Linked DNA regions of Ovis aries. The protein of the gene in region 2 interacts with the protein of the main gene of each other region in a pairwise test. Links are inferred from orthologs where the notes say so. Each region holds a gene or a part of one and is shown on either strand. Other genes may lie near its edges.

Region 1 (4,486 bases), on a different chromosome or scaffold from region 2:
AATCTCATCAACAGCTTTAAGAAACCAGCCTCACATAAGACAATCTCTTAATGCCTTAACTCAGTCTCAAAATGTTTCTGAAGAAACATTTATCCCTCGACTGCTACCCCATTATTTTAAGTATCCAATTGTTCCCCATTGATTAGGGGATTCCTGTGTCTATGAATCACCTTGCCTCCAGAAGCACAGAGGGATCCATCTGGAGAGACGGTCACAGTGTTCAGGTAGCCTGTGTGGCCGATGTGATTGGTCTTCAGCTTACAATTTGCCAAGTTCCATACCTAAAATTGTGGGTCAAAGGTGAAGAACCTGGGCTCTGGATCTATCAAGGTCAAAAAAAGGCATGGCACCATGCTTAAAAGGCATCCCTGGATAGGAGAGCCAATTTCCATTCTATCAGTGACAAAAAAGTCCAAGAATTATTAATCTTGGCCACTTACGGTCAGTTAAGGGACAAAGCTGATTCAAAGTTGATTATGACCAACTGGGAGGTAGTGGGAACACATTCTGGTTGGTAAAGGCCTCACGCCCTGGCTCCAAGCTCACCTTGACCAGCTTGTCCCAGCCACAGGAAACAATAATGGGATTGCTGCTGTTGGGCGAGAAGCGGACACAAGACACCCACTCTGAATGGCTTTCATCCTGCAGAGGATGGAAAGGAAATAAGGAGAAACTGTCTCGTCTTATGAAACTCGAGACCCCACCCTCCCCGCTCAGTTATGTGGGATATATATTCAGTATGTTGACAACCTGTATTCACACTTCCAGAACCCAAACCTTTAAGATAAGATAGAATCCCTTTAGGTTCCAGACGAGGCTTAAAATCACCATATAAAAGCACCAGTTAAGAAGGATGGGGGAAATGTTCAACATATGCTCCCTGCATGTGCCTTTACTTTACCTGGACAGTATATTTGCATACACCCAGAGTATTCCATAGTTTGATGGTTTTGTCTCGGGAGCCAGAGACAATTTGCCGGTTGTCAGAAGAGAAGGCCACACTCAGCACATCTTTGGTATGGCCTACAAATCGGCGAGTGGTGGTGCCCCTGAGAAGGAGGACTTGGTTACTCTCTAGAAAGACTGCAAACATTCTTCCAGTCAGGCTGTTTCCCTGGCCCAATTCCTCACCCAATGGAGCTGCGTTACCCACACCACCCTGGACATGGCTTTGATAAACGGCAGGCCCTTGGCCGAGAATATGCCAGAGAATCCCTTCAGAATTGCAGGACATGTCCTCACTCCCATGTGGGGATTGGCTGACAATGTCATCTGTCATCACCAGGATCCTCCATTATGCCTGACCACCCAAGACTGAGCTCCCAATATACAGTATGTTCAAACATGTTGTCTAGTCCCAAGTGCAGTATCTGATAAAACTGCTAAAACAGACCACTCTTCAGCAATTCTGTGTATCTAATTAAAAGCAACGGGGAGGGAGGCCGAACCACCACAAATATCTTCTCCAGGTACTGTGCCTTACAGTTCCCACTCAAGTACCCAATCACTACCCTGGGAAACCTGATGGTATCTACCTGCTTTCTACCCAGCTTTCCCCCAGTGCCCCAGAGCAGCTACTTGCGTTGTGAGATCCCAAAGGCGAAGGGTTCCATCCCAGGAGCCTGAGAGGGCAAACTGGCCATCTGAGGAAATGACCACATCACTAACAAAGTGGGAGTGACCCCGAAGAGCACGCTGTGGGATACCATAGTTGGTCTCATCTCTGGTCAGCTTCCACATAATGATGGTCTTATCTAAGGGCAGGTTAAAACAAAACAAACAAAAAAAAAGACCCAGTGAAAAAACCCCACGGCTCACCATCTGACCTTCTGGATCATAAACCAAGGGCATTTAGGGGTAGGGAAACTACCTAAAGGCTGAGAGTAGTTATTAGCCAAGTCCAAGTAACTTTAGTCAAGAGTCAAGCAGAGCTAAGTTGCACCCTGAGAATTTAACTCAGGTGTGTGAAACTTTACCAGGTTATGGATGCCCCTTTCGAAAATCTAAAACGATTCCACATCTATTTATTGGGCTTCCCTAGTAGCTCAGATGGTAAAGCATTTGCCTGCAATGCAGGAGACCTGGGTTGAATCCCTGGGTAGGGAAGATCTCCTGGAGAAGGAAATGGCAACCCACTACAGTACCCTTGCTTGGGAAAATCCCAAGAACTGAGGAGCCTGGTAGGCTACAGTCCATGGGGCTGCAAAAAGTCGGAGACGACTGAGTGACTTCACTTCCAGAATGCATGCACACAGCAGGCTGGATATGGAAGAGTAGCTGTGGGCCTCCTGAAACTACTGCTAAAGGATGCAAGAAATACTAGCAATAGAAAATCCACTTTAGGCGCTAAGGACTGGATGCTTTCACTGCAATGTGTTCCACTGAATAAACTTTCCTAGTAAGTGCCATACATGATTGTAGCCTCAGATGAACTATTTTTAAATAGCGTGAACGCAAAAGCAATCGCCAAGAAGTCTCCAAATGCAGTCAGGTACAGAGAGAATGAGAAGGAAAAAAAAAGGGGGAAGAAAGGGCTGCCCCGAAATAGCCGAGAGACTAGACACGAGGTCCGCCTTGGAGTCCACTTTTTAATGAGCAGAGGGTCCGGGCAGCAGCTCAGAAACAGCCTCTGGGTTTCAGCATAGGCACTCAGATGGCATGTTGGGATCATCACGGCGCCGCCCGACCCGAAGGCTCCTGGGCCCACAGATACATACACGGGTTTGAGAGGTAGCGATTAGAAAGGCCCCAGCCTTGCAACCCTCCCGGCAGCCAGCTGTTTCGGGGCTCGCCAAGTCGGGGACGCATCACCGGTTCATCCGCGATGAGGCCTAGGCACAGGTCAACTCACAGCCCACCGGCCCAACCATGTGACGCGCGCAACGACCCCTGCCCCTTAATCCAGCACCTCAGCCCGTACCTCGAGAGGCGGACAATATCATGTCCGGGAACTGGGGAGTGGTAGCGATCTGGGTCACCCAGCCGTTGTGGCCCTTGAGGGTGCCACGAAGGGTCATCTGTTCAGTCATGGCGACGGAGAGTGCGGGTGTCGCCGGAGCGACAAGGATGGAACTGGATAACTCAGAGAGGCGACCCGCACAACCGCTTCCACCGCGGCCCTGCAGAGGAAAAGAGAGAACCGCCCACGCCGGATCCGGAAATACCCGCCCTCTCGAACGAAATGGCGCCCTCCCATAATTCACTTCTGCTCAAGGTGGCAGCGCCATGTAGTTCAAAGGGAGAGATAAAAGAAGACTTCTGGTCCAGACCGTCGTACAACGTAATTTGGTAGCACCGTACAAATTCCCTTATTAAACCAACATGACTGAGTATTTAAAAAGGCTCCTTATGGTAGGGGAATGATGTCTCAAAAGCGTCAGAGAGGAAGTACACGCCCCAGAGCTTAGTAAGGGGAGCCTAGTGGCTTCACTGGCCTTACGTGGCACAGTCTGAACCCCTCCCTTTCCGCTTGGTGGCTCGGAGGGCATCGCAGAGGGAGCTTAATTTCATGGGCACAATTGTGAGTAACGGTGGGCGATGTGAATAATACTATATTAAAATTTCAAAGTAAGCTGCGTTCAGGTGAACTGTTAAACCCTAACAAATTCCATGCGCGGGCGGCGACTCTTCCCTCAAGAGGTTTATTCACTAATGGTGTTGGGTGAAGAAAGACAGTCCACCCAGGACTAAGGCAGGAATGGGTTACAGAGAGGAAAACCGGGAATGAAGGATAAGTTAGTCTGTGGGCTGCTGGACAATAAACCCCGCTCCCGCCTAAGCAGGAGCGTGGAGAGCTCTCGCAGAAACTGAAAGGCTTCAAGAGGAAGGTTGGCTCGGGCAAAACCACCTCATAAAAAGGTCCTTGGGTCTGGGTGTCTAGACGTGCCCAAGTATTTCTTTTCTGTTTGTCACGTGTATTATTTTCTCATGAAATGAGATTGGGAATAATAGTACCTACCTCACACGGTGTGGAGAGTATATTAGATAGGTAAAACACCCAGAGAGACCCCTGGCAAAGCAAATGCACAGAACTTAGTGAGCACCTCTTGGTTACCAGACGCAATTTTAGGTCTTGGGAACATAGCTGTGAACAGGTTAAAAGGGACCTGTTTCTTTGTTTTTTGAGTTTACATCCAATGAGATGGGGGAAAAGAGCTCAAGGGGGAGATTTTTAGCAAAGAAAGATATAGGAGAGATCTTTCGGGATTTATGGGTGGATGTTCCAATCCGAGGAAAGAATCAGTGCCAAAGTTCAGAGCTGGAGCGTTGAAGGCCCTGGGGACCAAACCAATGCAATGGGGGTGGGGGTGGCAGTTGACAGAGGGCCTTGCAGGCTGCTAGAAGGCCTGCCTTTGGGAAGGAACAGTGTGGGACAGTGGCAAAGCTTCTACGGGCTATGGCTACTCAGATGTGTGAAGAAGGCCAGAATCCATCCCTTGAAAGCAGCTACTCTCCTGGTGCCTTGCACACCTCTCCCTTCCTCCAC
Region 2 (4,440 bases):
GCTCAAGCGCGTCCTTCACTCAGGGGCCGCAAGGTGCCCCGTATTTTGTTGGTGCCTTTCAATGAATCACAAGCTCCGGGCCTGACTCTATGGAAACCGTATTTAACAAAGGGACCTACCGCTATCACATGAGGCGGAGGACAAACAAACTGGTTGCCAGCAGTGATAAAGGCCTGCACCAGGCTTTTGAAAACAGACTGGAAACCTAGGGAGACGGTTTGGAAAAAAGAATCAGCAAAAAATTGAGATTCTGGACAGACCGAGATTCTGGAGCGAGTGGAATGTTGAGGAGTGAGGGGAGCTGATCGACAGCGCAGAGGTGTGAGTGGCCACTCTTGCATTCCAGGCAACAAACGGAATGTCTTTGTCCTTCAGTCTGGGAATCCTACCATTTAGCTTGTATTATAACGGAAGCAAAACAAACACAAACACTTGTTCCTGCTGACATGCAGCATAAACCAAAACCCGTCTGCATCTTGACATAAACCAAAAACAGGAGACCACCCAGTTTTAGATCTGGTCTCCCGAACAAATCAAACCTTGCACATTTCATATAAGTTGCCAATGTCTGGAGATAAGACCTCAGTGTATAAGGCGCTGAAGCGAGAAGAGCTTTCCCATCACTAGCGCACTCATGGTAACCTGGCACTCTTGGTGCCACTGCCATTTTCCTATGTAAGTACGTCTTCTGTTTCTCCTTGGGCAAGGCAGGCCTTGCAAGCCAGACTCTTCCGCATCCCTTTGCAAGTAACCTTTTTTTTTTTTTAAACATGGACCATTTTAAAGTCTTTACTGAATTTGTTACAATATTGTTTCTGTTGCTTCTGTTCTGATTTTTTTGGCCCTGAAGAATGTGAAATGTTAGCTCCCTAACCAGGGATTGAACTGGAACCCCCTACTGGAAGGCGAAGTCTTAAGCACTGGACCGCTAGGCACAGTCCCACTGTATAGTTTTGGATGAGTTTTCCTTTTTGGTATGAGCAAATTTAAAACTCTGAAAATTTCCGCAGTAAAGAAACTTTAACTTAGCATTTCCCGAACTTCTTTGGGGGCCAGAGCACCTACAAGAACACAAACTGATGCCACATGTGCCACCTTGGAAGTCACTTCACTGCTGAGGTTTGGTTGGTGACCCACGGAATGGTGTGTGTTGCTGGATGACAAGCAACATGGCTGGTAAGGAACCTCAAAGAGCACCCAGGGTACCGCCAACAAACATCACTTCGTACAGAACTGATCCCTTCTCAACCTTCCAACCCACTCTAGTTTCTCTGTACCAACGTCCTGCAGGACACTCCTATCTGGGAAAACCAGAACCAAAGCTTTTAGATCAAGCCATCTCCTAGGATAGAAAGAACAACCCCAAGGTAATCTTGATTTACATTTCTGTTCCTAGAGGCCGATGTGAATTCGGGGCAGGCTTCAAGTCGGAGCACAGCTTCTCCTCATCTGTCGAATGAGACACCAGGCAGATGGGAGATTCTATTACAAAGCAGCGCAGACACACGCACCCTCATGCAGACGCGGCTTAGGCGGGGTAACTGAAATTTGGTATACTGGTATACAGACCTCAATGATTAAAGATATTGTCCAACAGGGGGAAGTTTACAGAAACATACATAAACATACGCACAAGTGCTCACAAAAGACCTTCTATTACAAATAACCTAGTGAAATTCTTTTCTATCCACACAAACTGCCAATTTCTGACAACAGCACATAGGCCTTGGATTAACTGGTTAAACGGTTAATAGAGACTAATGCTAACAGGAAACTTTTTACATCACACTTTCTCAACTATTCATAGTAAGGAAGAGAAGTAGTAACACAGATGATACTTAAAACTCTTCATTACATATAATCGAACCACACGACTATGGGGCTGGGTACCGCCGCCCATCATTGTGTCCCACACAGATTTAACTCAGACCGACTGTTAAAAGCTGTACTTTTCAGGTTCAGTAAGAGCAGGACCCCCAGACCTTCGAGCCACATCCCTGCCGAGGAATGCGGTGTTACACACACCAAGCTCCTTCTATTAAACGGGCGCAGTGGAGCCATCCGGTTTTGAATTTTCTACAACTCCCGGTCCACCCGTTACCGCCGCATTTCTCCACAGAAATGGGTTTCCCCGTAAGGGGCGGCTCTCACTTACCCTCCGTCGGCCTGAGTTCCCTGCCCTACGAAACAGGAATAACGTCTGCCTAGTACGTTACTGTGAAGACCGCAGAACACAAGCCTTGGGGATACGCGGGAAAAGAAAGAAACTTCCAGCAAACGCTATTTCCCACACAGCAGCTTCCAACTCGCTAACTGTGCATGGGAGTTCTCCAGACCCTTAGGAACCGAAGGCCGCTTCCGCAGGCCCTCACCGACGATGAGAGCCTACACCTGGGTGGTATCGCCGTTTCTAAACGGCCTCCTCGGCCCCCTGGCTGCACAGCGGCGGCTTCGCCCCAGGTCTCGGGCCCACCTCCCAGCCCGCACGACCCGCCAGCGCGCTCTCCTTTCCAGCCGCGCGGCGGCCGGCGCAGCGCCCGCGGGGCTCCGCCACGCACCGCCGGGTCCTGGGCACCGGCCCCGCCGGAGCCCGAACCTCGGGAGAGCCGCTTCCCACCGCCCCACTCCGGCTCGTCTCCCTGGCGCGGCGGAGAGGCGCGCGCGGGGAAGGACTCGCGGCGCCGCGCACTGACCTGCAAGTGACCTGCTTGGTGCTCATGGCGGTCGGATCGGAGGACCGTCGTGCGGCCGCCGCCTCTAGCTCTCCCAGCTGCCGCCGTCGCCGCCTCGGCCTCGGCCCTGCCCATCCCGCGGGGCCGCGTCACGCCGGCGCACGCCGGCGTCTCCGTGCCGCACGCTGCGGGCGCCGGCAGGAAACCTCGCCGCCGTCATAATTGGTTCCGCCCCGGGGTGAGGCGGGGCCAACCGCCAATCGCTGCACTCCTAGTCCCGCCTCCGCAGGCCTCCCGGGCGGGCGTGGCTCGCCTCAGGCCCGCGGGTTTTACGCCCGGGGGCGCACTGTGAGTCCCTACGGGTCTCTGCTTTTCTTCTTCACCGTTCCTTAGCGACTTCTCGTGGCCTAGGATCACCTCAGCCCTCCCGCGGCCAAGCTCCCCCCTCTCCTCTGCGCAGTTCAATTCAGTGTCTCACACAGGAGAAGGCACTGGCACCCCACTCCAGTGCTCTTGCCAGGAAAATCCCATGGACGGAGGAGCCTGGTAGGCGGCAGTCCACGGGGTCGCAGAGTCGGACACGGCTGAGCGACTTAGCAGCAGCAGTAGCAGGACTGCGGCGCGCCAGGCCTCCCTGTCCATCACCATCTCCCGGAGCTTGCTCAGACTCACGTCCATCGAGTCGGTGATGCCAGCCAACCATCGCATCCTCTGTCGTCCCCTTCTCCTACCGCCTTCAATCTTTCCCAGCATCGGGGTCTTTTCCAGTCAGTCAGCTCTTCGCATCAGGTGGCCAAGTCTGACACTGTCTCCACTGCTTCCCCATCTATTTCCCATGAAGTGATGGGACCAGATGCCATGATCTTAGTTTTCTGAATGTTGAGCTTTACACCAATCTTTTCACTCTGCTCTTTCACTTTCATCAAGAGGCTTTTTAGTTCCTCTTCACTTTCTGCCATAAGGGTGGTGTCATCTGCATATCTGAGGTGATTGATATTTCTCCTGGCAATCTTGATTCCAGCTTGTGTTTCTTCCAGTCCAGCGTTTCTCATGATGTACTCTGCACGGAAGTTAAATAAGCAGGGTGATAATATACAGCCTTGACGTACTCCTTTTCCTATTTGGAACCAGTCTGTTGTTCCATGCCCAGTTCTAACTGTTGCTTCCTGACCTGCATATAGGTTTCTCAAGAGGCAGGTCAGGTAGCCCCAGAGTTTTTAAAGCTACCCCTTATCAAATAAAGGCAGTTTCTTTATCATTCTAGCTTTAAGACTTTTTAATAATAAATGTCTTGTTCTTTTAAATCAAGTCTGTTTTTCTCCTCTCTGAGAAAACCACACGGTCCTTTTTATTTGGTTAACGTATTGAATTATATCAATTGATTTTTCAATGTTAAACCAACCTGAGATTCCTCAGATATACCTCACTTGGCCATGATATATTATTCTTTCTATAAATCATCAGATTCAATTTGTTAATATTGTGTTTAGGAATTATGCATCCTTATCCTTAAGAGATATTATTCTGTAGTGTTCCCCTGTGATGTCCATGTCAGGTTTTGTAGTTGAGATGTGCTGGCCTCATAAAACAAGTTTGGAAGTCTTATCTCTTTTCTATTATTTGGAAAAGTCTATATAATATAGGTATTAACTTTTCCTCAAATATTTGGAAGATTCACCACTGAAGCTACCTCAGCTTGTAGTTTCTGGCATAAGCAGATTTTTAATTAAAGATTTAATTGCTGTCTTACATATGGGCTGGGCTTCCC

The links.
Region 1: the proteins of MKRN2 (region 2) and RACK1 interact in binary tests that used the Homo sapiens proteins (3 or more experiments, as listed by UniProt). The two-hybrid records come from large-scale screens. The link is inferred for Ovis aries from reciprocal best matches to the Homo sapiens genes MKRN2 and RACK1.

What each region holds. Positions count from the first base shown.
Region 1 is NC_056058.1:38,113,967-38,118,452, forward strand, and holds the start of RACK1 (small ribosomal subunit protein RACK1), read right to left. Parts: upstream 3,096-4,486; 5' UTR 3,030-3,095; coding exon 2,921-3,029; intron 2,681-2,920; exon of another isoform or gene 2,613-2,680; intron 1,755-2,612; coding exon 1,583-1,754; intron 1,290-1,582; exon of another isoform or gene 1,211-1,289; intron 1,050-1,210; coding exon 902-1,049; intron 643-901; coding exon 547-642; intron 282-546; coding exon 171-281; intron 1-170. UniProt on the Homo sapiens protein: Scaffolding protein involved in the recruitment, assembly and/or regulation of a variety of signaling molecules. Interacts with a wide variety of proteins and plays a role in many cellular processes.
Region 2 is NC_056072.1:56,520,887-56,525,326, forward strand, and holds the start of MKRN2 (E3 ubiquitin-protein ligase makorin-2), read right to left. Parts: upstream 2,811-4,440; 5' UTR 2,720-2,810; coding exon 2,694-2,719; intron 1-2,693. UniProt on the Homo sapiens protein: E3 ubiquitin ligase catalyzing the covalent attachment of ubiquitin moieties onto substrate proteins.